Arabidopsis thaliana: one gene and its partners. The protein of the gene in region 2 interacts with the protein of the main gene of each other region in a pairwise test. Each region holds a gene or a part of one and is shown on either strand. Other genes may lie near its edges.

Region 1 (7,652 bases), on a different chromosome or scaffold from region 2:
CTAAGTTCTCACAATGGGTATGTGGTAATAACTCACAAGACACTTGTTAACTCTGAAACAATGTAAGACTTGTGTGACTAGATCTCCTTTAGCATTTTTGGTCTGGATGATTAAAAGAAATGCAGTGATTTTGGTTAATTAATAGATTTTGTTACTTATTATCTTTAAATAGATGTAGATGTGCTTATTTTGTCAACAATAAATTTTGTAAATATAATGTAAATATTTAGTACAGTTAAAAAGATATATTGTGTTTATCAAAGGTACATTTTATAGATATTGATCTAAATCTCCAAAAGAATACTTTTCATATTTTTCTTGTCTTATCAAATTTATTTTGTATAGTTTACAGATTTTAGCTACATTTTAATGAATACATCAAAGTATTATAATGATTCCACTACTTTGTAAATTCAGTTTCTTATTTTCTTAAAACATCTAAGTGTATTTAATTAATGTAGTTTTAAAATATATAAAATAATAAAATATTTAGATATTTATACACAAAAGATAGAGGTAAATAGTGGAAATTTTCTTGGTCTAGTTAATGGCCAGCCAATCTTAATGAAAGTTTGAGATGGTAAGAAATAAATATTTTTAAGAAATGATTTGTAAGTATTATAAACAGAGACAGAACCATAGATTAAGATTTAAATTCGATAATGGAATAAATCCATTAGCTACTTGAATCTAAATTTTGTTCAAGACCAAGTCACATCCTAATTTTGCTAAGTTTAGGTTTTAACTTGGACCAATTTCGTTCAATTGTTGTTTAAACATTCCTCCAAAAGTTCCTAAGTAAAAGCACAACCTCAACTGTTCATTCCACTCAAAGATTTATATAATTTGATTTTTCCTTATTCCTCCACCAATAAAAAGAAAGATTGTTTTCATCTTATAAAAACGCGCACACAACCACATATTCACCAAGACATTATGGCTGATGCAACGGAGAAAGCCGAGCACGACCGTATTTTCAAGAAATTTGATGCTAATGGTGACGGAAAAATTTCAGCAGCCGAACTCGAAGAAGCTCTTAAGACACTTGGTTCGGTAACAGCTGATGACGTCAAACGTATGATGGCTGAAATTGATACTGATGGTGATGGAAACATATCGTATCAAGAATTCACTGATTTTGCAGGTGCCAATCGTGGACTTATGAAGGATGTTGCCAAAATTTTCTAATTTTTTTTGCCATACTTTTACTTTTGAAATGTTTGAATTTTTTTATATATATTGAGAGATTTGGTTCTAAGCATCGTCAATTCTTATTTTTGTTGTTTTTACACTTGGTGAGTTTTAATTTATATGATTGTATCCTAATTCCATGTAATGTGATGTGAGTGGATCATTCTTGAAAAGGGGGCTAGTTTGTTTTGTTTTGGTTTGTTGAACACCACAACAACGAATGTTTTGTTTTAAAAAGATATAAAAATGGCTTTAACAGTGAAGAGAACCAAAACATTCATAATTTGTTTTGTTCCTTAAAGTTCATTATTTGGTTTAGGCTTCTCGCATATACATTTTAAATCATTGATATAAAATAAAGTAACTACATTTTTAGAATTACTTAAAAAGTAAATATATTGCGGATGCATTCTCTTTAACGTAAACCTCTCCGCCTATCCTCTCGGTCTCACCTCAAACTTTCTCCTAAGTCCATGTTAGGACTTAGCCGGAGAAACCAATAACTATGCCTACACAGCCGTCTCATCCATCGATTACGACATGCTGTGGCTGTGGGACTCATGTTCCTCTTTGTTAGGAAGTCTTATATAGTTATATTTATATAAAATCAAAAGCTGATATTGTTCGGATTGTTTAGTCTTGACTACTCAGATATTGAAGTGTTGTTACGGGTAAAATCAAGAAATGGTAAGTCTGAAGATGTTCCAAGACTTGAGGATATTTAAACATTGCCATGTTTAAAGTGAGTTTAGAGAATGAGAATGTGGTCCAACTTTATCATATCTTTCTATGAATACATGTATTTTTCAAAAGTGGTGATAAAATTAGTAGTAAATATCAAGTTTTCTTTTACACATTCCTAAGCAAAACGGTTTCACCCACTTGATCAAAAGCTGACAATGAAAACCTCTCAAAAAACCCAAAAGTAGAGTTTGGACTCCGGCTTTTCAGAATAAAAAGACTCAAGTGAGGTTTAGCTTCTTTACTTCTATCATCATCATCATCTCCCAGAAACGTTAGCCTCTATGTAATAATCGAGTCGGTCCAAATTCATTCATGCGTCATTTTGTATATATTTTGGGTGAAATTAAACGTAACGTCAATTCGTTGACAAAAAATAAAATAAACGTCATTTCTTTCATATTTATTCAAACTATGAAAACACTTGCTCGTGCTGTTGTTACATACACACATGTTCCTCGTTCTCGAATCTCCACGACCAACGAACCAACTGGGTCCCAAAAGTATAAGGCACGGAATATTTCGGGCGAAATTGTCACAAAACGAAACTACTGGGGTAAGTTAAAGTAAAATAAAAACATAAGGTCACGTTCGCTAAGTCTTTTTTCTTCTCCTCTTTATGACGACGTATCTACCGCCGCAACTCCGCCGCTAGTTTCCACGCCGATGCAGCGATTAGAGGTTTCGTTTGCCACGCAAGCATTAGGCTTCCGTCGTTCTCCTCCACTCTGTATCCATCTCCACCGCCAGATAACGCCAATAGCAAACTCGCTTGCTTAAACGCGTCTGATCCGAGGTTAACCGGGTCAAACCCGGCGGATCCCATACGTTTTCGCCACTGAGCCAGCGTCTCGTGTCGCTCGATCCTATCGCTTCCTTCCGTCGCCACCAAGTTCAATATCTGTCTCCCTAAGTAAACCTCCGACATGACTCGGTCTTGACTCGGTATCACAACACCATCTTCGAGCGAGTCGAACAAGCTCGAGTAATAGTGAAGCGCTTCGTTAAACCGGTCTAAGAAAACGTCACCGTTATGGTTCGCTTCTTGTTCCACCACTGTTACGAGACCCGGTTTAACCGCCTTAACCGTCGCTAACAGCTTTTCGATCGAACCGGGTTGGGATAAAACCGGGTGAAGCTCGAAAACCGAATTAACCACTAGAGTCTCCGATTCGGTTCGGGTCTCGAACATATCCGGTTCTAAATCGGATAACCTCTCCGTCGTTAGACCATTGAATTTGAATTCGACGCCGATGGCTTGAGCCAGCTGAGCTAGCTTCCAACCTAACTCTTGAATCCCTTCTCGATTCGACGGATTCCCAACGCCGGTGAGACGAAACGACGGTGGACCACCGGGTCGGAGAGCTAAGGCTTGCATTAACGCCGGCCATTGCATACCTTGATTAAGCCCTAGATCGATTACGTGTACGACACGCGACGTCGTAACAGCTTCTAGAATCGCCTGATTGGCCGTGAAATGAGCGAATTTCAGGTAGGGACACGAGTCGTAGAAGTTCATCTGAAGAATCTCTTCGAAGGAAGGATCAATGGCGGCGGCGGAAGGATGAATCCGGTAAATTCGACGAGCTAGGGCTTCGGCGAAGTAGGTAGCGACTTTCCCCATGGCTCCGGCTTGAGAAGCCGCGAGTAATCCCACGCGCTTGACGAGAGCATCCGCGAGGCTCAGATTCTCCAGCTGAACCGCCTCGGCGCAGGCCACTAGCGCCTGAACGAGTCTAACTCCTGTCTCCTCGATAAGCACCACGGAACGAGTTGACTCGCTGGTCACTGAGTCACACCAAGGACCGAGTCGAATCCTCTTGTTGCTGTTACTATTGCTACTGCAACACTCATCGTCGTCTGTGATTGGTCTCAGATCGCAAATCCGGTTCGGGTCAAGATCCGGGTAGTAATTAAGATCCGAGAGCATGCTCTGAGCCCAACCGGAGAGATCAGAAGGATTGTAATGAACGGTGTCATTGAAGGCATTACTAGAAGAGGCAATATCATTGGACAAGACCATTTCAAGCTGTTCAAGCTTCTGTGCAACATCTGCCATGTCTGAAGATCGAACCTTGTAACCCAAAACAGCAAGAAACTCGTCCATGTTATCGTCTCCACCACCACCACAACCATTTTCTAACTTCTCCACCATTGAAGGAGCTTCTTCTTCTACAGACGTTTCTTGATGGCTTCGTTTCATCGTCAAGAAATGGAATTTTTTGGTGTTGGAATTGGTTAGACAGAAATTGTGGAAAGAAAGGAGAAGAATTTAAACAGGAGAAGGTAAGAGAGGAGAGTTAGAGAGGTCCAATGAGGGAAGTGAGGGACCTGGAGAGTGTAAGTAAAAGAGATAAGAAGGAAGAGAGGCAGGCCATTATAATTTCGCATGTGTTTTCTTCTCTATTCTTTCTTTTCCAAATTATTTCATTTTTATTACTATAACTTTATTGAATTTCTGATCCAAGTTACAAAAAATTCGTCGCTCTGATAAGGGCGTGTAGTTTTTGTTTAATGGTCCAATGGACTGTCATAGTCTATTAAACTATTTTTTAATACCCACTAAATGTTGAATTTAGAGTTTCTAGAATTATTAAATTGGGTGCTGCAGTAGATATTAGTCATATCATATGACCTATATTGATAACCCAAATAGTTCTTCTCGAGAAATGGAACTTGTAAACTCCGAAAGTAACAGCCCGTTTTCTTCAAGTATCTTGTTTCTATAACAAAATTTTAACTAGTTAACGTGACATACTGTAATAATTTTACTGACAAAATTTGATATTTATTTTTTTAAATGATACTATCTCCTAATAATTTGTTTGCCGAAATGGTATAAAATAATACTAATTTTTAAAAAAGTTTGAGAAGAAAATAGAGGTCCCGATAGAAGTACAGCTCAAAGTATTGCAGTTAGGGAGACAACGTGACCAACCTCACGGTCGACATGTGGCGGCAGTCGACATTAGGTATCAGACGTCTACAACATTACGTTGCTTTCTTATTATTATTATGTTTTCATTTCTTTATGTGTGTAAATTGAATTTTATTCCCCATACCAAAAACATCATTTTAAACATGATAGTTACATATATAGAAGATTTTTATAATAGAGTAGAACTGAACATAAAAATAGATTTCACTCTTGAATTAGTTTGTTGGTCTAAGTACAAATGGCTTATTATTTTCCGTTTTGTGAAAATAATGTATAATCCTGTATAAAATAAAGTTTCGAGTAATTTTATATGACTTAGCGAATGAATACACAAGCTAAATATATTAGTATATTACCCTTCGTTCGTTGATATATTGGCAATTTTGAGGGAAACAAATAAATGACGAGACTATTTAATGGCCGGATACGTTTTGAAATGTTACCCAAGTTACTTTCTCGACATTTTAGGCGGATGATCCATTGACTAATTATCCTCTTAATTATTCGAACAATAAAAAAAACTACACTATCCAAAACGTGTGGTAAGAAGATATTTATCCACAATGTTCCGTAAATATCTCATTTATTTACATTTTGAAACCTATCATCAAACTAAGTAACCAACCCTGAAATATTTAGTCAATTATCTTACAAAAGAAACTCAACAAATCCCCTATCATTGTGACAAAAACCCTTGATTTCACTCTCTATATATACTTAATGATCTTCCTAAAACACAGTCACAACGAAATAAGCATGGCAAAAGCAATCGCTTTAACTGTCTTTTTGTTCTTATTCTTGTCATTAATATCTCTAACCCTAGCAACAGATTATCCACTATTCACAAAGTCTCGATGGATCGTAAACAACAAGGGCCACCGCGTGAAGCTAGCTTGCGCGAACTGGCCTTCGCACCTCAAGCCAGTGGTAGCAGAGGGGCTGAGCAGCCAGCCAATGGATTCAATATCGAAAAAGATAAAAGACATGGGATTCAATTGTGTTAGGCTCACTTGGCCACTTGAATTAATGATTAATGACACTTTAGCCTTTAATGTTACCGTGAAACAATCATTTGAGAGATATGGATTGGATCATGAGCTTCAAGGGATTTACACTCACAATCCATACATTGTCAATACTCCTCTCATCAATGTCTTTCAGGTATAAATACATAATTAATCATGTGATTCTAGTATTACATAATTTCTTCAACTCAAACAAAAACTATTCTTTTCATGTTCAATTAAAAATCCATGGTTTTTAAATAAGTCATTTGTGACTGAAAAATATGACTAAAACATGTTTTATCTTATATTGCAATAATGATTATTTTTCCATTTCTTTTCAGATCTGATCATCGTTGTAATGAAAAAAATATATTTCACATGCTTCTTGTTTTTACTATATGATATCTTCTAACGCAAGGCAACATGTTTGTGTAGGCTGTGGTGTATAGTCTTGGGAGGCATGATGTGATGGTGATACTTGACAACCACAAGACCGTACCGGGGTGGTGTTGTAGCAACGATGACCCGGACGCGTTCTTTGGCGACCCAAAATTCAACCCGGATCTATGGATGTTGGGTCTTAAGAAGATGGCCACAATATTTATGAACGTGAAAAACGTTGTTGGTATGAGCCTGAGGAATGAACTTAGAGGCTACAATCATACATCAAAAGATTGGTACAAGTACGTATTTATAAATTCCATTTTCATTTATTTATCATAACGCCCATGTGAAGCTTGAAGGCCAAGGAAATTAATACACGTTAATTATCTGTCTATTTTAGATCTTAACAGATTATATTCCGTTGTGCTATACATAATTAAATCCACAATAATAGTTAAGTACAAGTACATTAAAAAATATATATTTATATTGGTTAATATAGGAATCCAATGTCCATCAATTTAACAACAAGAATCAACGCATATAAATAATAAATTAACTTGATTCTAACCTTTTTTTAAATAGAAAAAATGATTATTATTTTTCCACATGTAGGTACATGCAAAAAGGAGCAGAAGCAGTGCATACATCAAACCCTAACGTACTGGTCATACTCTCAGGGCTTAACTTCGATGCTGACCTAAGTTTCTTAAAAGATCGTCCAGTGAATCTTAGCTTCAAGAAAAAACTTGTCTTGGAGCTTCATTGGTATTCTTTCACTGACGGTACTGGTCAATGGAAGTCACACAATGTCAACGACTTTTGCAGCCAAATGTTCTCTAAGGAGCGTCGTACCGGCGGTTTTGTTCTCGACCAAGGCTTTCCTTTGTTCTTGAGCGAGTTTGGGACCGATCAAAGAGGTGGCGATCTTGAAGGAAACAGGTTCTCGACCAAGGCTTTCCTTTATAATTACATTTAGATATTTGCTTACCAATCAAAGCTTAAAGTACTTTTATCAACCGTATACCATTAGGTACATGAATTGTATGTTGGCATGGGCGGCCGAGAAAGATTTGGATTGGGCGGTTTGGGCGGTTACGGGAGTTTATTATTTCCGCGAAGGCAAACGTGGTGTAGTTGAAGCTTACGGTATGTTAGATGCGAATTGGCATAATGTTCATAACTATACTTATCTCCGTAGGCTCTCCGTCATTCAACCACCGCACACAGGTATTCATCAATCTTGCTTGTAATTTAACCAGATTATTATTACATATAGTTTGATGTAAATTTAATAAACAGGACCCGGTGTAAAGCACAATCATCACAAGAAAATATTTCATCCGTTAACCGGACTCTGCCTAGTGAGAAAGTCACACTGCCATGAGTCC
Region 2 (7,626 bases):
ATGGACGGCCAGTTCTCTATTAAATCCGATGTATACAGCTTTGGAGTATTGATCTTAGAGATCATAACCGGAAAGAGAAACAGTGCTTTTTATGAGGAATCTTTGAATCTAGTCAAACATGTAAGTAAAAACTTCTTCCTTTCTTTGACATAACTTGGGGATACAGAGGAGCAAAACAGAACATAAGCAAACGTTTGTTTCTTCGTCTTGTAGATTTGGGATCGATGGGAAAATGGTGAAGCTATAGAGATCATAGACAAATTAATGGGTGAAGAGACGTATGATGAGGGCGAAGTAATGAAGTGCTTACACATTGGGTTACTTTGCGTGCAAGAAAACTCTTCAGACAGACCAGACATGTCCTCTGTTGTCTTCATGTTAGGTCATAACGCCATTGATCTTCCATCTCCGAAGCATCCTGCATTTACGGCGGGAAGGAGGAGAAACACCAAAACTGGCGGCAGCTCAGATAATTGGCCCAGCGGAGAAACCAGCAGTACTATTAACGACGTTACTCTCACCGATGTTCAAGGTCGTTAAGAAGTGTATTCCTCTTCTTTATAATCTAAGAAGACTATAGGTATCAATTTATAGTAATACTTGTTATATAGAAAATTATGTGTTTAAAGCGTATGCAAACTTATTTGTATAAAGTTTACAAATACCTAATGAAAAGAAAAGTTAGCCTCATTATACAGGGGATTACATGGTTAGCTTCATTTCTTCTCTACATAACCCGACTTTTATCAACCACTAACCAACCATATTAATAATGATCTCATAAAAATCTTTAAATCAACTTAGAAAGTGCTCACCATAGGTTTGTTTTTCTTAACTTACCAAGGAGCCGACAAAATTGTCTCAAACTCAAACTCCACATCTTCAAGCTCTACATTGAGATCTTTTGCACATGACTCCATCTGACATATCTTTTTCCAGGCTGCATCTTTCTGTTCTTTTTCTGCTTCCTTTTGTTCTTTTAGAGCAGCTTCTTGCCTCTGCAGCTCGATAATCTTGTGTTTCACCTCAAGAATCTTTTGTTCCATGTCATCAAACTCTTGTTTAGCCTTGCTAAATTCATTTGTCATCTCCTTGTCAAAACCTTTTAGTTCCTCCATTATATATAGTTGTCTATCTTTGAGTGCTAACAGCTTGTCGATCCGTGATAATGGAGTTGTAACATTGAAGCCATGTTTCTCGAGCTCCGAAAATGAATCTTTAAGGCTATTTAGTTGGCTTACAGGAACGTCGGCTTCAAGATCTTTAAATTTCTCCAGTAACCCAAAATAAGTCACCATCATACCTATTGCATACCCTTCACGGAAATCTTGCTTAGTCTCAAACAATGGGCTGAAATGAAGACTGTGTGATACACTTTTGAAGACCTCCAGTGATTCATAAGTCTTCCAGACCGGTGACTTCTTTGCAAAAGGCAAAACCATTATTGTGTGTTTTGCATGGTTTTCCTCAGCATTAGAAGCAGAATTCTTCACCACATTGGGGGTCCGATCCGAGGATAACACTGGACAGATGAACGCATACACAACACAATGAGAAAATAAAGGCTTATCTACCAGTAATAGTACAATGAGACCATTGCAAGCGGGTCCTACATTCCAGAATGTGCAATGAGAGTTAAGACATACCAGTCTTATTGATGTATGAATTGAGCTTTAGACCTCCTCTTTTCCTCTTTCGAGTATAATATTTGATCTTAGGCTCCTCAGGCATCTGTGCATAGAAGTGTTAAACCAAAAGGAGAGCCATCTCAAAGATAAATAACAATCATAAACAATACCTTCTCTCGAGTTGACTCATTTCCAAAGCCATTCTTCATTGGCACAGGGGATACCTTTCCTTGGGTTTTGTTCTTTGTTGCAGTTACCCCCAGGGTTATAGGTAAACCAGATTCTTTTTTCTGGAAAACAAAGACCATAGAACAATTTCAGGGCGTAGAAAACAAACAAGGTTATAAAAGAATCCACTAGCAGGGTTATGACCATATACCACATCATCAGCCATCTCATTTCCCGGTGGTTCCTTTGTCTGCACATTTCTGTTGCCGTCTAAAGAAGTTTCTTTCTGGCGTTTTGGCTGAAAATGGAAATAACATAACAACACTTCAATTAATCCTCAAAGATGTCACACTAATTAAACCAAACCAACACAATGTTGCCTGCAACTAGTGATACAATTTACCTTTGTTCTTTTATGCCAAACTCCATCTTCCCACTCCATTGGAGGCCTAATATCAGAGTGATTAAATTGCGATGCCTCCTTTGTTGCCCCGAAACTTACCATGTACCTTCCCTCAAAGACAATTCCCCTGACCACACCTTGACGCCATTCAAAACCACTAAACGCCTCTACATGATCCAGCAATTCATACTTTCCAACAGATAAAGGAGGCTGCATAGGCCTTAGTCTTAGGGAATCAACAATTAAATTTTTCGATTCCCGGCAGCTATAGGACTTATTCCAGTACTTGACAAGAAACCTCTTGTCCTTCTCCAACTCCTTAATGACAATTACCGGAATCCAAGCACAATCAAATCTCAATTCCACCATTGTCCCGCAACTAAAAACAGACTTGACCAATTCCTTCAAAGACAAAAAACAAACATACAACAACGGATAAAGTTAACAACTTTTTCATGCAAAGGCGAAACGATTTCAAAAAAAACTCATCATACCTTATTATCAGGTCGGATCCATTTGAAGCCGGTCCAATCAAGATGAACCCTCAATTTCTTTTTCTCAAACTGAATAATGTCTGGTGGGCAATCGAAGTAAACCAAAAACTTCTCATCCTCCATTGTTTTTACCACCACACCAGTCCACCACCCATCTTTGAGATAAGCGTCGACCATCAAGCCTTCTACAAAAACGACGCCGTCGTTCACATCCTCCGACGGGACAGGACGAATGAACCTCTGATCGACGAATTCCGTTAAAGGAGCCAAACGGTGTTCATTGAGCTGCGTCAAGTAACGAACTTTAAGCTTATTGTGTCCTGATTTCGTTGGATTATCTTCCAGAATCGCTCTGTAATAAGACCCTTTTAACTCTTCTTCTTCAGAAAAAACTTCTACTTTGTCGTCTTTTCTAATGAATATCATCTGCTCCATCTCAAAAACCCTTGAATGAAAACTAATAACGGCTCATTTTTGCTCTGCTAACCCTAAATCTAAAAAAAGACTTTTCTGCTGAAACCCGAAAACCATAGATATGATTATATGAAGGAGACTTTTTGCAACCAAAACACAGTGCTACTGTGTCTGTGCTTAGTGTCGATATTCACGATACACATCGGGGAAAGTGTGTTTTCTTTTTTTCTTTCCCAATTTACTTTTCTTTTTTTTTGGCGCTTGAAATTATGAGAAAATGATTTAAGAAATTATCAGGCCCAAACTATCTAATGGGCCTAATTAAAAACGGTGTCGTTTCATAGGATCCTCATCACGAAGCAGGTAAGTAAAAATATATCTTATCTTCTCCAAAACTCTCTCTTCGATTTCAGCAATTGCAATGGCTTCCTTCACAACAACTTCTTCTTCCTCGCTTCTCCTCAAAACTCTTCTCCCCGTAAGCCACCTGAATCGTTTCTCTACACTCTCTGGTATCCGCGTTGGCGATTCATGGACTCCTCTGCTCCGGAACATCTCCACCGCTGGGTCTCGGCGTCGAGTGGCGATTGTGAAAGCTGCGACGGTGGATTCGGATTACTCGTCGAAACGGAGCAATAGCAATGAGCAGAGAGAGACGATTATGCTTCCTGGTTGCGATTACAATCATTGGCTCATTGTAATGGAGTTTCCTAAAGATCCAGCGCCAAGTAGGGATCAGATGATTGATACTTACCTTAACACTCTTGCTACTGTTCTTGGCAGGTTCGTTTTCGCTTTCTTATTGATTCTCTTCGTTGTTGAATTAGTTAACTAATAGACGACATTTACTTGTGTTGCTAATGGACTTGTCCTTTGATTGAATCCAATGTTGCGTATAGGAAGATTTGGTTTTTTGTTAGATTAGGGTTTTTGATGATACTTTAGGGTAAGGGTTTAGTGAGCTGAGTAAAGCTTTCAGCTTTAAATTTGCTCTGAAGTTGACCTAGTTCCAGAATTTGTTCTTAATATCAGGTGTAATCTTTAGCTGACTTGTTTTTCGTCTCTTGATATGTGCAAACTTATTGAACATTGCTGCATATTGAACACAAAACATTGGTGTCTGATTTGATATCTAAAACTTTGTGCTCTTTAGCGTAATTATGAATGAAATTAGGGGGAAGAATAGAAGCATCTATTTTTGCATATTTTCTTCAAGCTATGTATAAATTGTAGGTGATTGTGCATGGTTTCTGTTTGTTAAAAACTTGATGTGGACAGTGTAAGCTAGTAATGTATGTAAAAGGAGTGTACAATTGTGCAGAGCATTAGATTGGGACTCCTGACTAGAAATTTCTTGGTATGGCAGGGAACGAGTTTGTGTTACACAACTAATGACTAAAACTTTAGTTTATTTGGTGCTACTCTCTATTTTAGAGAACTTTGATTCCGGTTTACACTATCCTGCTGATGTGATAACCAATTAATGTACTTGTGTCCATTTTCCAGCATAACCAGTTCATCGTGTTTGCTTATTATATGTACTTGTGTCTATTTTCCAGCATGGAAGAGGCGAAGAAGAACATGTATGCATTCAGTACCACGACATATACTGGATTCCAATGCACCATCGACGAAGAAACATCTGAGAAGTTCAAGGGTTAGTTAGTGAGCAAGAAGAGCCTTAGTCCCCTTATTGAAAGTTCGTCGAAAACCTTCAAGATACTGATCGTTCTGTCTTTTCATTATTTTCACAGGTTTGCCTGGAGTTCTCTGGGTCTTGCCTGACTCCTACATAGATGTCAAGAACAAAGACTATGGAGGTAACCCATCAAAGCCTGATTTTAAACTTTCTAGGATCTCTCTCTCTCCCAGTATCCATGTTCTGATAATTGAATCGTTCTTTCTCGGGTTTAGGCGACAAGTACATCAATGGAGAGATTATCCCGTGCACATACCCAACATACCAACCAAAGCAGCGCAATAACACTAAGTATCAAAGTAAGAGATACGAAAGAAAAAGAGACGGTCCTCCACCTCCTGAACAGAGGAAACCAAGACAAGAACCAGCAGCCTCTGATTCCTCTTAAACTATAATAAGATAATGGAGTGTTTGCAAGTTTTGATCTTTTGGTTAGCACTTAGCTTGTTGAAGTCGTGTGTAAAATCGTCTAGTACCAAATGATGATACTGTATCATCACACCTTGAACAATAGCTATTGTTATGTTAGGATGAAATTCAACTTGAACCATTTGTTTATTTAGGTAATGTTCGGTTTTGGTTTGGTTTGATTCTTTGTCAACCACTGCTTTTTCCCCACGTTTTCTCAACACCAATTTCAGACAAGACAAAACAATTGTAGGGTCACACACTCGTCACCAACTCACCATCTACATCAGTCGTCCCTACCTTATCAACACATCACATGGAAATAATACACTACTCTCTCACGGACTTGGAACCAAACATTCCAAATTAGTTTAATCGACAGATCACTGCTCAGCTGAATCGTTTTCTCTCATCAACCGCAGAGAAAGACTTTCAAGATCATCCTTCAAGCTCTCTCAAATGGCCAACTTCTATGAGAATTACCAGAGTCCTTACGATTACAATCAGGTTAATAATCTCTACGATCAAAATCATTATCATTACAATCAACAGCAGCAGCAGCTTGGTTTCGAACCAATGAGTTATAATTATTACAACTGGAATGAATCTGAATCTGAATCTGAATATGTTGCTTACTCTGGTTATGATGATCCAATGAGTTATAATTGTTATAACTGGAATGGATCCGAGTCTGAGACAACCTCTGCATATGTTGCTTACTCTGTTTCTACCATGTCTGAGCCTAAACACTTGTTCTATGATCCGAATCTCTATACAACCTACGAATCTCCTCCTCAGTTTAGTATCTATTGCTCTGTAGCCTCTGCTCTTGACTTCAACGAGCCGGAATTCGATGAATACGATCCCACGCCGTACGGTGGTGGCTACGATGTTGTTGCAACCTATGGAAAACCTCTTCCTCCATCGGTGGAAACTTGTTACCCTTGTTCAACCGCTCCTCACGCTAAAGCTCCCTCTCCTCCTGAGATTATTGCTCCTGTTCCTCTTGGAATTTATGATGGTGGTCAAAAGAATGTTGTCAAGAAACGTGTGTCTTTTGCTGAACCGGTAGAAGAAGTCAAACCAATAGAAACCATTAAAGAGCAAGAACAAGAACAAGACGAAGATTATGATGAAGAAAGTGAGGACGAAGATGATGGTGATGATGATGATGAAGAAGAAGAAGAAGGGGATGAGGAAGCTAAAGAAGAAGAAAAAGATCACAGTTCAAGCTATGGAAATGAGGAATATGAAGTCGTAGATAAAGGAGAAGTGAAAGCTTTGTATGTTCCGTCTGGTTACGGATTAGAAGCGACCGATCTCTGTGAGGTTATATTTGGAGGTTACTTTCCTTGTGTGTTACGTAACAAAAGACGTCAGGAAGATGAACAAGATCGTGGGGCTGCTGTTTCTTGCTGGGAAAGCAACGATTCTGATCCGTGGAAGACAACTTCCGATCACCTTTTCGGGGATTCATATCCGTACGGTTACGAGAATCGGAGCGAAAGAAATCAGTTCGAGGTCTCCTCTTATGGTTACCGGATGTATTAACAACCCTAGTTATCATCAGTTGTGTCAATGTGAGGTAAGAACAACATTCTTTTGATTATTGATGAACCTGATTTTTTAGTATCTGTTACACAAGAGATGAGATTTACTGTTGTATAACGAGGAGGGGTTACTTAATAATAAAACGTCGCACGCAAAATCTATCTTCAACCTTTCTATTTGTAACATTCTCTTTAACACGTTTGTTTAAAATCTAAAATCTTTAAATACTACACTCGATGTGATAATTGATTACTGTATCCATCGTAATTATTATTGGTATATATACATTTCTTTGTGAAAAACACCAAATAAATGAAAGAATTGTATCATGGTATATCTAATATCTATCACTGTGAGTACAAGTGCAGAAGAAATTGTAGAAGTAGAAAAGTCAACGATAAAGATGAATTAGCTGAAGTTGAAGAACACTCTAATAAGTAATAACAAACAATGAACACCATGGGGGTTCTTGATTATCTTAAATGAAAATTAGTACCCGATTCAAAAGAATATCATTTTTTTGTGTTTTTGGAAACTCTTTTGAGACGTTAACATGTTGACTAATAAATTATGTGTAAATATACTTTTTTGCAGAAATTATTTTTGTGGATGTATAACTTGTTTACCTGAGCATGTAAGTATATGGAATTTTCAAAACTGTACTACGTATAGACAATATGCAAATACAGAAAACAAAACAAAATACCGTATTTACACGCGATATTAATAAGGTTCAATGACATGCTACTTCTTAACTAAAACAAAATTTAAAATGATTGATGAAAGCTTTACATGTGCGTCATGGAGGCTTAACTTTGTTTTGAGACGTCTACTTCTTTTTTTTTATTCTTATCCCTTTCC
Region 3 (9,497 bases), 5.1 Mb from region 2:
CATAGCTTTTTGTAGGTCTCAGACTCGTCCATGATGTAATTTGAATGAATCAATGTTTTCATTTTGATTTGCAGAGTCTTCAGCGGAGTCGAAGGAGTGGAGATGGAAACCGAGCCGTTGTGCGTGAGTCCCGCCATTGGCATGATGTATTCTGGTCAGCCATCTTTGTGATCCACTTGATTTGTTTGGGATTTGTGCTCGCGGTGCTTGGACTCAATAGGTTTAGAATATCAGATAGGTTAAACATCGATAGGTACACTCAAGGGTTCTTGGAGAATCATAAAGGTCTAACAGAGGATTACTGGCCTCTCTATGCTGTTGCTGGTGGCATTGGAGTCTTTATCAGTTGGGTTTGGTCATTGCTGCTTGGCTCTTACGCCAATGAGATGATGAAAGTTTCGGTTCACATCTTAACAACCTATCTAGCTGTAGTTAGTGTACTATGTTTCTGGTGCAGACTGTTCTTTTGGGGCGGTGCATTCGCTGTTGGATCTCTGTTGCAGTTCTTGTATGTTATTTCAGTTATAGACAGGTGCGTCCGAGGTTGAACTGGTTGAACTATGACTGAACCCCTATGGTCAAATGGCAACAACTTTTTAGTTCTGATGATTTGAGTTGTTCATGTGTAGACTTCCTTTCACAATGCTGGTCCTACGGAAAGCGCTGAAATTAGTCTGGGGACTTCCTAAGGTGATAATGGTGGCACATGCTTTCACAGTAGTCATGCTTTTGTGGATGTCTCTATGGTCTTTTGGAGCAGCTGGTGTTGTGGCATCGAGCATGGGCGATGAGGGACGATGGTGGCTTCTTGTGGTGAGCTGGCAAGTTTTGCATTTTTACTCACGGTTTCTGTTTTCTGCTTTAAGTGTCTGAAAGTAAACATGTTTAGAATTCACTCAATCATTGGAACATATAATATATATGCAGGTTCTTTCGGTTAGCTTATTCTGGACAGGCGCTGTGCTATGTAACACTGTCCATGTTATAGTTTCTGGGATGGTGTTTCATGTTCTCTTTCACTGTGGTCAAGAAGAGTCATCATCGTTGCCTCCTAGCTCTTTGGTAGACTCACTTAGGTATGCCGTGACAACATCTTTTGGGAGCATATGTTACGGTTCACTCTTCACTGCTGCCATTAGAACACTTCGCTGGGAGGTAGTCTCCAGCATCCTTTGCTGTTCGTAAAACATTATCATTGCTCCTCTTGTTAATAACATTAGTCTGCAACTTTCTTTTGCAGATAAGGGGATTCCGGTCCAAGATTTGTGGAAACGAATGTTTACTTTGCTGCGTTGATTTCCTGTTTCATCTAGTTGAAACACTAGTTCGTTTTTTTAACAAGTATGCATACGTCCAGGTATATATATAAATATAGACAGTTTTTAAACAAGCTCATCATCTCCCTCCTATGAGCAATGAGACTCAGAATGAAAAAAACGTTTGGTTAATTATCAGATTGCAGTGTATGGAAAAGGATTCAACAAATCAGCAAGAGACGCATGGGAATTGTTTCAGTCGACAGGTGTAGAGGCACTTGTTGCATATGACTGCTCTGGTGCTGTACTTCTGATGGGAACCATCTTTGGAGGACTCATCACAGGCTCTTGCATTGGTATATGGGCTTGGATCAAGTACAGTGACCGAGTTATAATGGTTGCATCTACGGCTATGTTGATGGGAATGGTTCTTGTGAGTTTTCTTTTGTGCACTCTTTTAGTCACCCAAAAAATTACATGACCAACTTGTTCACTTTGTTTCATTGATCCAATGTGGTGTTCAGGTGGGTTTAGGAATGGTGGTAGTCGAAAGCGCTGTGACATCGATATACATATGTTTTGCTGAAGATCCTTTGTTGATTCAGAGATGGGATGCTGATTTCTACACTGAGATGTCTGAGGTGCTTCACCGTCGTCTCCAACATCGTAGCTCGCGAGCCCGTGAAGTTTTGACGACCGCTTGATTAGCCTATGCCTCCTCTTGGAAAATAGGAGATATAACTGTAGAATATTATGCTATTAGAGGGTGCTAAAAGCGGGCTAACCCTTGTGGCTAAAATTATTTTGTCAAATGATTTATGCTTTCTATTTGTTGAATCATGAATAGGAGGCTGTGGGCGTTTGTATCAAAATCTAATGTATTGATTTTTGTGTTTATTAGAAAAACAAAATCAATTGAATAGAACAAAGTTGATCTAGAGGGGTTGGATAAAGTTTGAAACAAGAACTAGTCAGAAGACCAAACATAGCCACACGCATTTCACTCTATCTCAAATAGTTTCACTAAGGGAGTAGTGTTAGCATTAGTAAACTAAGAAGAATGTATAAGGTTTGGAACAACAGAAAGTGTAAAAAAGGTAATACAATTTTACTAACAAAAATAGTTGCAGTTCATAGCCAGCAACCAAAATGGCGTTTTACACAAACAAACCAAATAAATTGCAGAGAACACGAATAATAGAAACTTAACTTAACGATCATACATATGAAAAAAAAACAATTCAGGATTGTGCTGCTGTGGAACCATCGATGGAATTAAGTGCTTGATTTGCAAAATAACGAACATCAACATCAGGGTCTTCGCTCAGGTCCACCAAACACTGACGGATTGTTTTGTCCACCACCTACAAATTTTTGACACGGCAAAAACATTAAAATTCAACAATTTCCATTAGTTTTCGATATAACTGAGTTATGTTTGTTATGATCGTACTGATTGGTCGACTATGGGGATGAGGGATTGCAGAAGTTTGGCAACGTTGAACTTGATGTTTGGAACTCTGCAGAGATAAGAGGTGTGCAACAACAACACATTAAAAACTAAGAAGTGTTCTTAAACTAGTTTGGCTTATTCATATCCTCTAATCTATCTATTGTACCTGTCTTTTGATGCTTCAACAACCACAGGAAGAAACTTAGAGCATGTGATTTCTGATCCCATTACAGGCGCCATGAGAGATATTGCGCGTAGAACCATCATCCTGTGTAGGTAGTGCGGATTGTTGACCATGTCCAATACCTGTTTATATGATAAAGGTCAATCTGGAGATCTCAATATTTGCAGCTTTAGTGATATCCAAAGAAAAGGGACCAAAGCTGGAGATTAGATGTTATAGGTGAGGTACTTGACATAGATCAACAATAAGATAAACAGACAGATGGTTTTAGTATAAAATGCTCAAAGAATACCTGGGGAACTAAGTGCTGCATTGCCCATTCAGGACCAAACTCCTCTGCGAGGCGCTTTAGGTTGTTTGCTGCAGCTTCGCGGATAGAGTAGACCTGAAGGAGGAGAACAGTGTCAATATCTACAATAACAAGTGAATGAGAAATTTATGCAAACATCAAAGATTCAAGGTAAACCTTGTCTTGCAGCCATTGCATGCAAAGGGCTCCGAGCTTGTCATCGAAAAATCCTATACCTAACTGGCTGGCCAACAGTGGAACATACTCTATTATTGCAAGTCGGACTCTCCAGTGCCGATCCTCAGCAAGTTCTACAATGGCCGGTAACAAGGATTGAGATAGTAGATCAATTCCAATAACCTGCCGTAAAAGATAATTCAGTCACCAACTAAATAAGGAAGCAATAAAAGTAGTATCTAAAGCACACAAGAGAGATGCAACAAACCTGGTTGACTTGATCTAACTTGCTTATGATGTTAAGGCGCACATCAGGAAATTCATCTTTCAAAAGGGAAAGAAAAATTGGTAACAGATGCTCAATGGTTGAGTCCTGTATTGAAAGATTTTAGTATGTTAATAATTTTTTGATAAGGTCTGCAACACCAGTTGGGGCTGGTATAACCACGCCATAACACAAGGTATGGCTGATTTTGTTGATGAAAACCATAAAACAAATTAAATCTCAGAACATTGTCACAAGATGCGAAAATGTTGGCTATCTTCAGTTCATACCTTCCCAAGGATAGGAGCCATCCCCATTATTACTGAAGCTAGAGCAGAGCGGACATGTTGAGAAGAATCCGATGATAATTCCTGCCAGACATCAGTATGTATCAGAATATTACGAGACAGGGGACATCAAACAACTCGTTTATATAGAATTTAAGGAGTCTTACCTTCACACAAGGAAGGATGTGCTGAATCGCAAGCTCTGGATTCAAAAGCCGACAGAACTTGGTCACTTTTCCCGCTGCTGCTATTCGCACTTCAGCCTCATTGTCCCTTAGCAATCTCACATATGCTGGAACCAAATCCGTCCTAGAGATATTATAACATAAATTGTGTCAAAATAAAAAGATACATGTACAAACATAGAACTACCATGGAAGGCTCTTATATGAACGAAAAAGAATAAAGAAAACTTCCAATAGACGCTCTTAGATGCATATTTGTTTGAAGGTCACAAAACTGTTTTACGAGAACGAAAGCCTAGATTAGCAAGGATGACAAAAAAATCAACAATGTCACAAAACACATACCTCGTGCAATCAGGACCCACTGCCTCACAAAGTTCATATAGCTGATTAGCAACCATGTAGCGCACCCTCCAAGATTTATCCTGCTCTCAGAAATCAATACAAACACCATAGAAAAACATCAGAACAGCAAGCTTTTACCGATGAAAATTAAACATGGAACAGCAGACAATTAACTGAAAAATCCATGAATGAAAAAAACAAAGCTCAATTCACCTGAGAGAAATTAACAATAACAGGTAAAATGCGTGCAACACAATCCTGAGGTTCCAACAACTTTCCAAGAGCTGCACACCCTTCAACAGCCAATAGTCTCACAGAATCTTGGTCTGAAATGAAGGTTAAAGTTTAACCAATATAAGCACAGATAAAACAAACATTTCTGAAGAGGTAAGTATCCAATATATTTCATCAAACAGCGTTTATTAATTCAAATGTGATCTCTTTACCATACTCTTGGGTCTATGCAAACTATTTCTAAGTGATGAGCACATATAAAGTACGATATATTCAAACATTAAGTACCATCTTTAGTAAGATCATCGAACATAGTCATGATCTCAGCAATCAAAAAGGTAGACTCGACAGTTGTAGCAAATTTCCCCAGGTTAGATGCAGCAGCTCTTCGCACCATTGGCATATCATCTTTGCACAACTGGCTATAAGTAGCCCGTAACTCAGTCTTCAACACATCAGTGCAACCTTGGTATGCAACATGAAATATACCACATGCAGAAACTCTTGCTGCAAACCATTCACCACCCGCTAACCTCTACAAGACAAACAACAAAACAAAAAAAAAAGCTTTGATTGAACCAACTAACAAAACGGCGTAATCTAGTGCTACATAAATCTCCTAAACTAACCTTCACAAGAGGAACAAAAGATTCAACAAGATCATTCTCTTTCATCTGAGATCCAATCTTACAAAGCGATTCCACAGCTTTTTCTCTCACACAAGTCTCTTCAACAGTACATAGAGATTCCAAAGGAGGAAGAAGAACATGCGCAAACTCAATTCCTCCAACAAACGGAATAAAAACTCCTAACTCCTCAGCCATTGCAAGAAGCACCTCATCGTCATCGTCACTATTCTCACTCAAAAAAGGGATTAACTCCTTCCTTGTACGCTCCTCTCCAAGAGCACGAGCTATAGTAGATAAGCGACGGATCGAGTTCAAACGAAGCTGAATATCATCATTCTTAAGCTCATCTATAAGCACAGCAATGGGATACAACGGTTCATCTACCATAGCCATCTTATGTGAAAGTTCGAATCAAATCACTGCAACACCAAAAATAATTCCTATGAGCTCATTGCTATAAGAGACGAAACAATAGATATTTTCGGATCTCGAATAAAATATTTAGTAATAAATACGAGAAATCATTTACAGATCCTGGGAAAAAACAATTATAGCCACTCGAGTGTTATCTTCGGCTTTATTGATTTTTCTCTACTTGCACAAACAGATTAAGACTATACTGCAGATTTTGAAACGAATCGGGTATGAATAAAACAGAAGAAGCGAGAAATGGGTTCAGATTCACCGGTTCGAAGTTGGATTAAAGGGAATGTGAATCGGAAAATGAAGGTTTAGAGATGAGATCTTATGATTCGTTAAGAAGAAACTGGAAATCAACTTACCGATCCAGGCGTCGGAGAAGAACTGCTTCAGATTCCCAGGAGCGAGAAAAGGTGAGAAAGAGGAATTCGCGAGCGAGAAAAATAATATTCTGCGTTTGATTTTTTTTTACGAAGGATTTATTAAAGGGAAAGATATAAAATGACGAAAGTGTCTAATTGGGCCATTTTGGGCTTTCTTAGGATTGGGTTATGTTGGGCTTTAATCAATTTTTTGCTTTAAAAAATTAAACAGTTGATTCAATTGATACAATGAAAGAAAAACAAAACTTTCCAATTGAGTTTATGACTTTGCCAAAACAAAACAAAAAGGAATTAGGAACTTATTTCAAGACAGCAAACAAACAAAGCAATAATGTATATAATTTTCTATACAAAATCAACTATATCCCTGGAGCTGAAGCAGCTACTGAGTCTGGTCCAGAGTCCAGCTTTTTCTATATCCGTGTCTCGCTAACTTGTTCTTTGAAATCGGCTTTAGTGCTTAGTTCCTCATACGCGTTAACAATATTTTGGAGCCTTGCAACAAACTCGATCAAAAGAGACGCAAATGTAGCTAGCGACAAAGAACTCGCACTTTCATATACTTTGGATTCTATCTCATTGATCATAGAACCGCCTATGAAAGAGACGCTTGGCCAGTTTTCGCGGTTCCTAAGCATCATACTCTCTGTTGATATCCATAGCTGAGAATCATTACCAGCGTGTTGATTCTGATGATGAGGGTTGTTGTTATTGTCCCATATCTGGCTGAGGGATTGAATCACTTTAGACTCGTCGTCTTTGGCTTCGTGATAGTTTTGTTGCGCTTCTTCAGCTTCGGCTTTCTCTTTCATAGCAGCCCAGCTTTCTGAGTTGACAAGTAGGAAGGAGTTACTGTCTATTTTCATCTGTAGTTCCTCTGCTGCTCTTTGAACATCCTTGAGAACGTTCCCTGGGCTTAGCTTCTCCATTTTCTCCACCTTTTCTCCAAACAACCTCAAGACTTTGGCTCCTTCGTTTCCAACTCTTTGAAGTTCTTGACGAAAAGCCTGCCTTTTTTCTGGAGCTGCCTGCAAATCCCACACCAATTGATATCACAAGTCTTATAGGGCATACGACAAGCATTGAACTCAAAGAAAACCATTCACTAGTAACAACAGTAAACTAGGAGATCCCACTTTGCACCTACTCAACAATTATATGACAAATATCCGACTTCTCAGAGTAACAGTCTAGTTAATCACGAAGAGGTACTAGTAGCATTTGAAGCAGGTTGGTATAGTCTCTAATAACCATTATAGCACCTCATTTGCTATGATAGATAAAGTTGTATTTAACAAGAATATGGTAAGTTACCTGAATTTCCGAAAGAATGCAGCCATGCATTGCCATGACCATGAAAGCGCAGTGCCTTACTGCGCCACTAAGTTTGACGTAGTTTGCCCATGGATGGTGGAAAGTCTTATATGGTCCATGTGGAGGCTCCCATACTGCAAAATCAAGCTGAGGAAAAAAGAGGTCATCGTATCTTATCATCTAAATCCTTTTCAAGTTATCTAGTTGCTGCTCAACAAAAGTGTCCTAAGGAAAACACACCAGAGAATCTTCTTGGCTCGTAGATTGGACTACAGACCTGTATCCACTGTATAATGGATCATCCGAAGCTTGGTAAGTGAGAATCTTCGAAGGAATCCTCTCGTATTCAACACATTGCAAGTACCCATTAACACATCCTGAAAGTTTTAGGAAAGCACAAACAAAACAAGACATAAAAAAACAGCCAAAACCCGAAACGAAACAAGAGAAAACAGCCATTTGACGTATCTCTCTACCTTCAAGTGAATTGGCCACACTTTTGAAATTCTTAACAACTAGTTTATGGAGGTCTTCTCCAGCCCAAATGGGAAGTATAAATATGTTCACACCCAAACAGATACCAGCACCAACCAGGATAAGCAAAAACCTATAATAAGCAGTGCTAAAAAAATCTCTAGAGTTGTTTCCAGACACAAGAACAATACAGTATGTCAACAAAAACACCCTGAATGCATATTCATACGACTTCATCGCCGGGTATAGTTTCAAATAACTTGCAGAAAAACCTGATAGACAAACCAACAGATTCACAAGTATCAAAAATAAAGTTAGTATGTTTATTTAAAAAAGGTTCATTTCTAATAAAAATTGAGAGAAATAGTGCAACCTGCAATGAAAATACTGATAATGATAATGAGTTCTTCAAATTCTCCAGCTGAAACAGAGAGTCTAGCTATGCCAAGAGCAAGTCCTCCAGCAGAGAGTGTTCCTATAGCTCTATTAAATCCTTTGACCAATGTTGCTCCTTCAAAAAACAGAGTTAGAGCCAAATTAGATCTCTGAAGACAAGTAATCCTAAGACAGATCTAATGAGAATTTAGATCGAAGAAGACGAAAGTTTTGATTTTTAATCAAAATCCGGAAGATTTGATCGAACAACAACAACCCCAGAATCGATCTGAATCTATAGAATTCGTGAGTCACAGTACCTATACTATACTCAAAGACGACGACAACAGTAAGGATCGCCCAAACAGCATACTTGCTAGCGTCACGGAGTGGTTCTTTAAGGTAGATGACGAAAGAACAGAGTGCGAGAGCCATCCCCATCTTAACGGAGAAGTAAACTTTCCGACGATCGGAACGACCCATCTCGTATAATTTAGCACCGATGTCGTATAAAGCTTTCCAGGAAGCAGTGATCCCGTCGGAGCAAAATCGGAAACACCGGAACTTGGAACGACGGTCATCGATGATGTTTGAATCATTGAATCCGAAATCTGAGCAAGCTTTTCGAGAGAGAAAGGCTTCTCTAGTTTGGTCAGCCATTTGCGTTGATTTCTTCTTCCAAAAGATCACGATTTCATAAACTGAGAGTGAGATGAGATGGTTCGATCAGATGGATCCCACTTTAGAAGAAACCTTAATTATAGTGGGGTCCTGTAATGAAAAGGGGTGAATCATGTTTAGAAAGATTCCGAAGCTATAAGACAACATATAATTTAATTAGTAATAGTATATGATTTTCATTTGTAGAGCAAAAAACAACATGATTTGGCCGTCCATAAAAGATGTTTCTTGTTCTATATGTATATTGTTTCTTACGAAATTTTAAATATTTGAATTTGAACTCATTTAAAGAAATTTGGAAGTAGTCAAATCATAAAAATTTGTATTTTTAAGGACATTGAAAAGTACGATATTTTTTCTTTCTTACCAATATTAGGCATATCACAATTTTTTTATTTTATTAAATCATTGTTTTGCTAAAAAAAAATCAAGCAAAAATAACTATCAATTGAAGAGTAGAGTTTAAAAAATAGTATCACTCATGTTTTTTTTATAATTATAACATTTATTATGTGATGTATAATAGTGTATAATTGTTTTGTGGTA

What was found. Proteins that work in one complex are often made in the same cells at the same time.
Region 1: the proteins of MORF9 (region 2) and RGL3 interact in binary tests that used the Arabidopsis thaliana proteins (3 or more experiments, as listed by UniProt).
Region 3: the proteins of MORF9 (region 2) and RCN1 interact in binary tests that used the Arabidopsis thaliana proteins (3 or more experiments, as listed by UniProt).

What each region holds. Positions count from the first base shown.
Region 1 is NC_003076.8:5,761,753-5,769,404, forward strand, and holds RGL3 (RGA-like protein 3), read right to left. Parts: upstream 4,495-7,652; 5' UTR 4,136-4,494; coding exon 2,564-4,135; 3' UTR 2,237-2,563; downstream 1-2,236. Other genes in the region: PC1 (pollen calcium-binding protein 1), read left to right, coding at 937-1,188; AT5G17500 (Glycosyl hydrolase superfamily protein), read left to right, coding at 5,627-6,031, 6,313-6,560, 6,877-7,203, 7,295-7,491, 7,564-7,652. UniProt on the Arabidopsis thaliana protein: Probable transcriptional regulator that acts as a repressor of the gibberellin (GA) signaling pathway. No effect of the BOI proteins on its stability.
Region 2 is NC_003070.9:3,843,745-3,851,370, forward strand, and holds MORF9 (plastid developmental protein DAG), read left to right. Parts: upstream 1-3,475; 5' UTR 3,476-3,528; coding exon 3,529-3,890; intron 3,891-4,666; coding exon 4,667-4,764; intron 4,765-4,861; coding exon 4,862-4,927; intron 4,928-5,021; coding exon 5,022-5,194; 3' UTR 5,195-5,480; downstream 5,481-7,626. Other genes in the region: AT1G11410 (S-locus lectin protein kinase family protein), read left to right, coding at 1-120, 214-540; DUF2 (agenet domain protein (DOMAIN OF UNKNOWN FUNCTION 724 2)), read right to left, coding at 837-1,522, 1,647-1,731, 1,799-1,918, 2,008-2,094, 2,200-2,601, 2,694-3,128; AT1G11440 (uncharacterized protein), read left to right, coding at 5,674-6,765.
Region 3 is NC_003070.9:8,947,900-8,957,396, reverse strand, and holds RCN1 (ARM repeat superfamily protein), read right to left. Parts: upstream 6,236-9,497; 5' UTR 6,087-6,235; intron 5,724-6,086; 5' UTR 5,698-5,723; coding exon 5,305-5,697; intron 5,211-5,304; coding exon 4,964-5,210; intron 4,768-4,963; coding exon 4,655-4,767; intron 4,522-4,654; coding exon 4,442-4,521; intron 4,221-4,441; coding exon 4,079-4,220; intron 3,996-4,078; coding exon 3,915-3,995; intron 3,733-3,914; coding exon 3,628-3,732; intron 3,543-3,627; coding exon 3,360-3,542; intron 3,279-3,359; coding exon 3,186-3,278; intron 3,016-3,185; coding exon 2,876-3,015; intron 2,777-2,875; coding exon 2,710-2,776; intron 2,621-2,709; coding exon 2,498-2,620; 3' UTR 2,237-2,497; downstream 1-2,236. Other genes in the region: AT1G25500 (Plasma-membrane choline transporter family protein), read left to right, coding at 75-532, 630-813, 928-1,155, 1,241-1,357, 1,456-1,689, 1,781-1,960; AT1G25480 (aluminum activated malate transporter family protein), read right to left, coding at 6,521-7,135, 7,422-7,568, 7,662-7,798, 7,898-8,167, 8,269-8,406, 8,591-8,930. UniProt on the Arabidopsis thaliana protein: The A subunit of protein phosphatase 2A serves as a scaffolding molecule to coordinate the assembly of the catalytic subunit and a variable regulatory B subunit. Seems to act as a positive regulator of PP2A catalytic activity.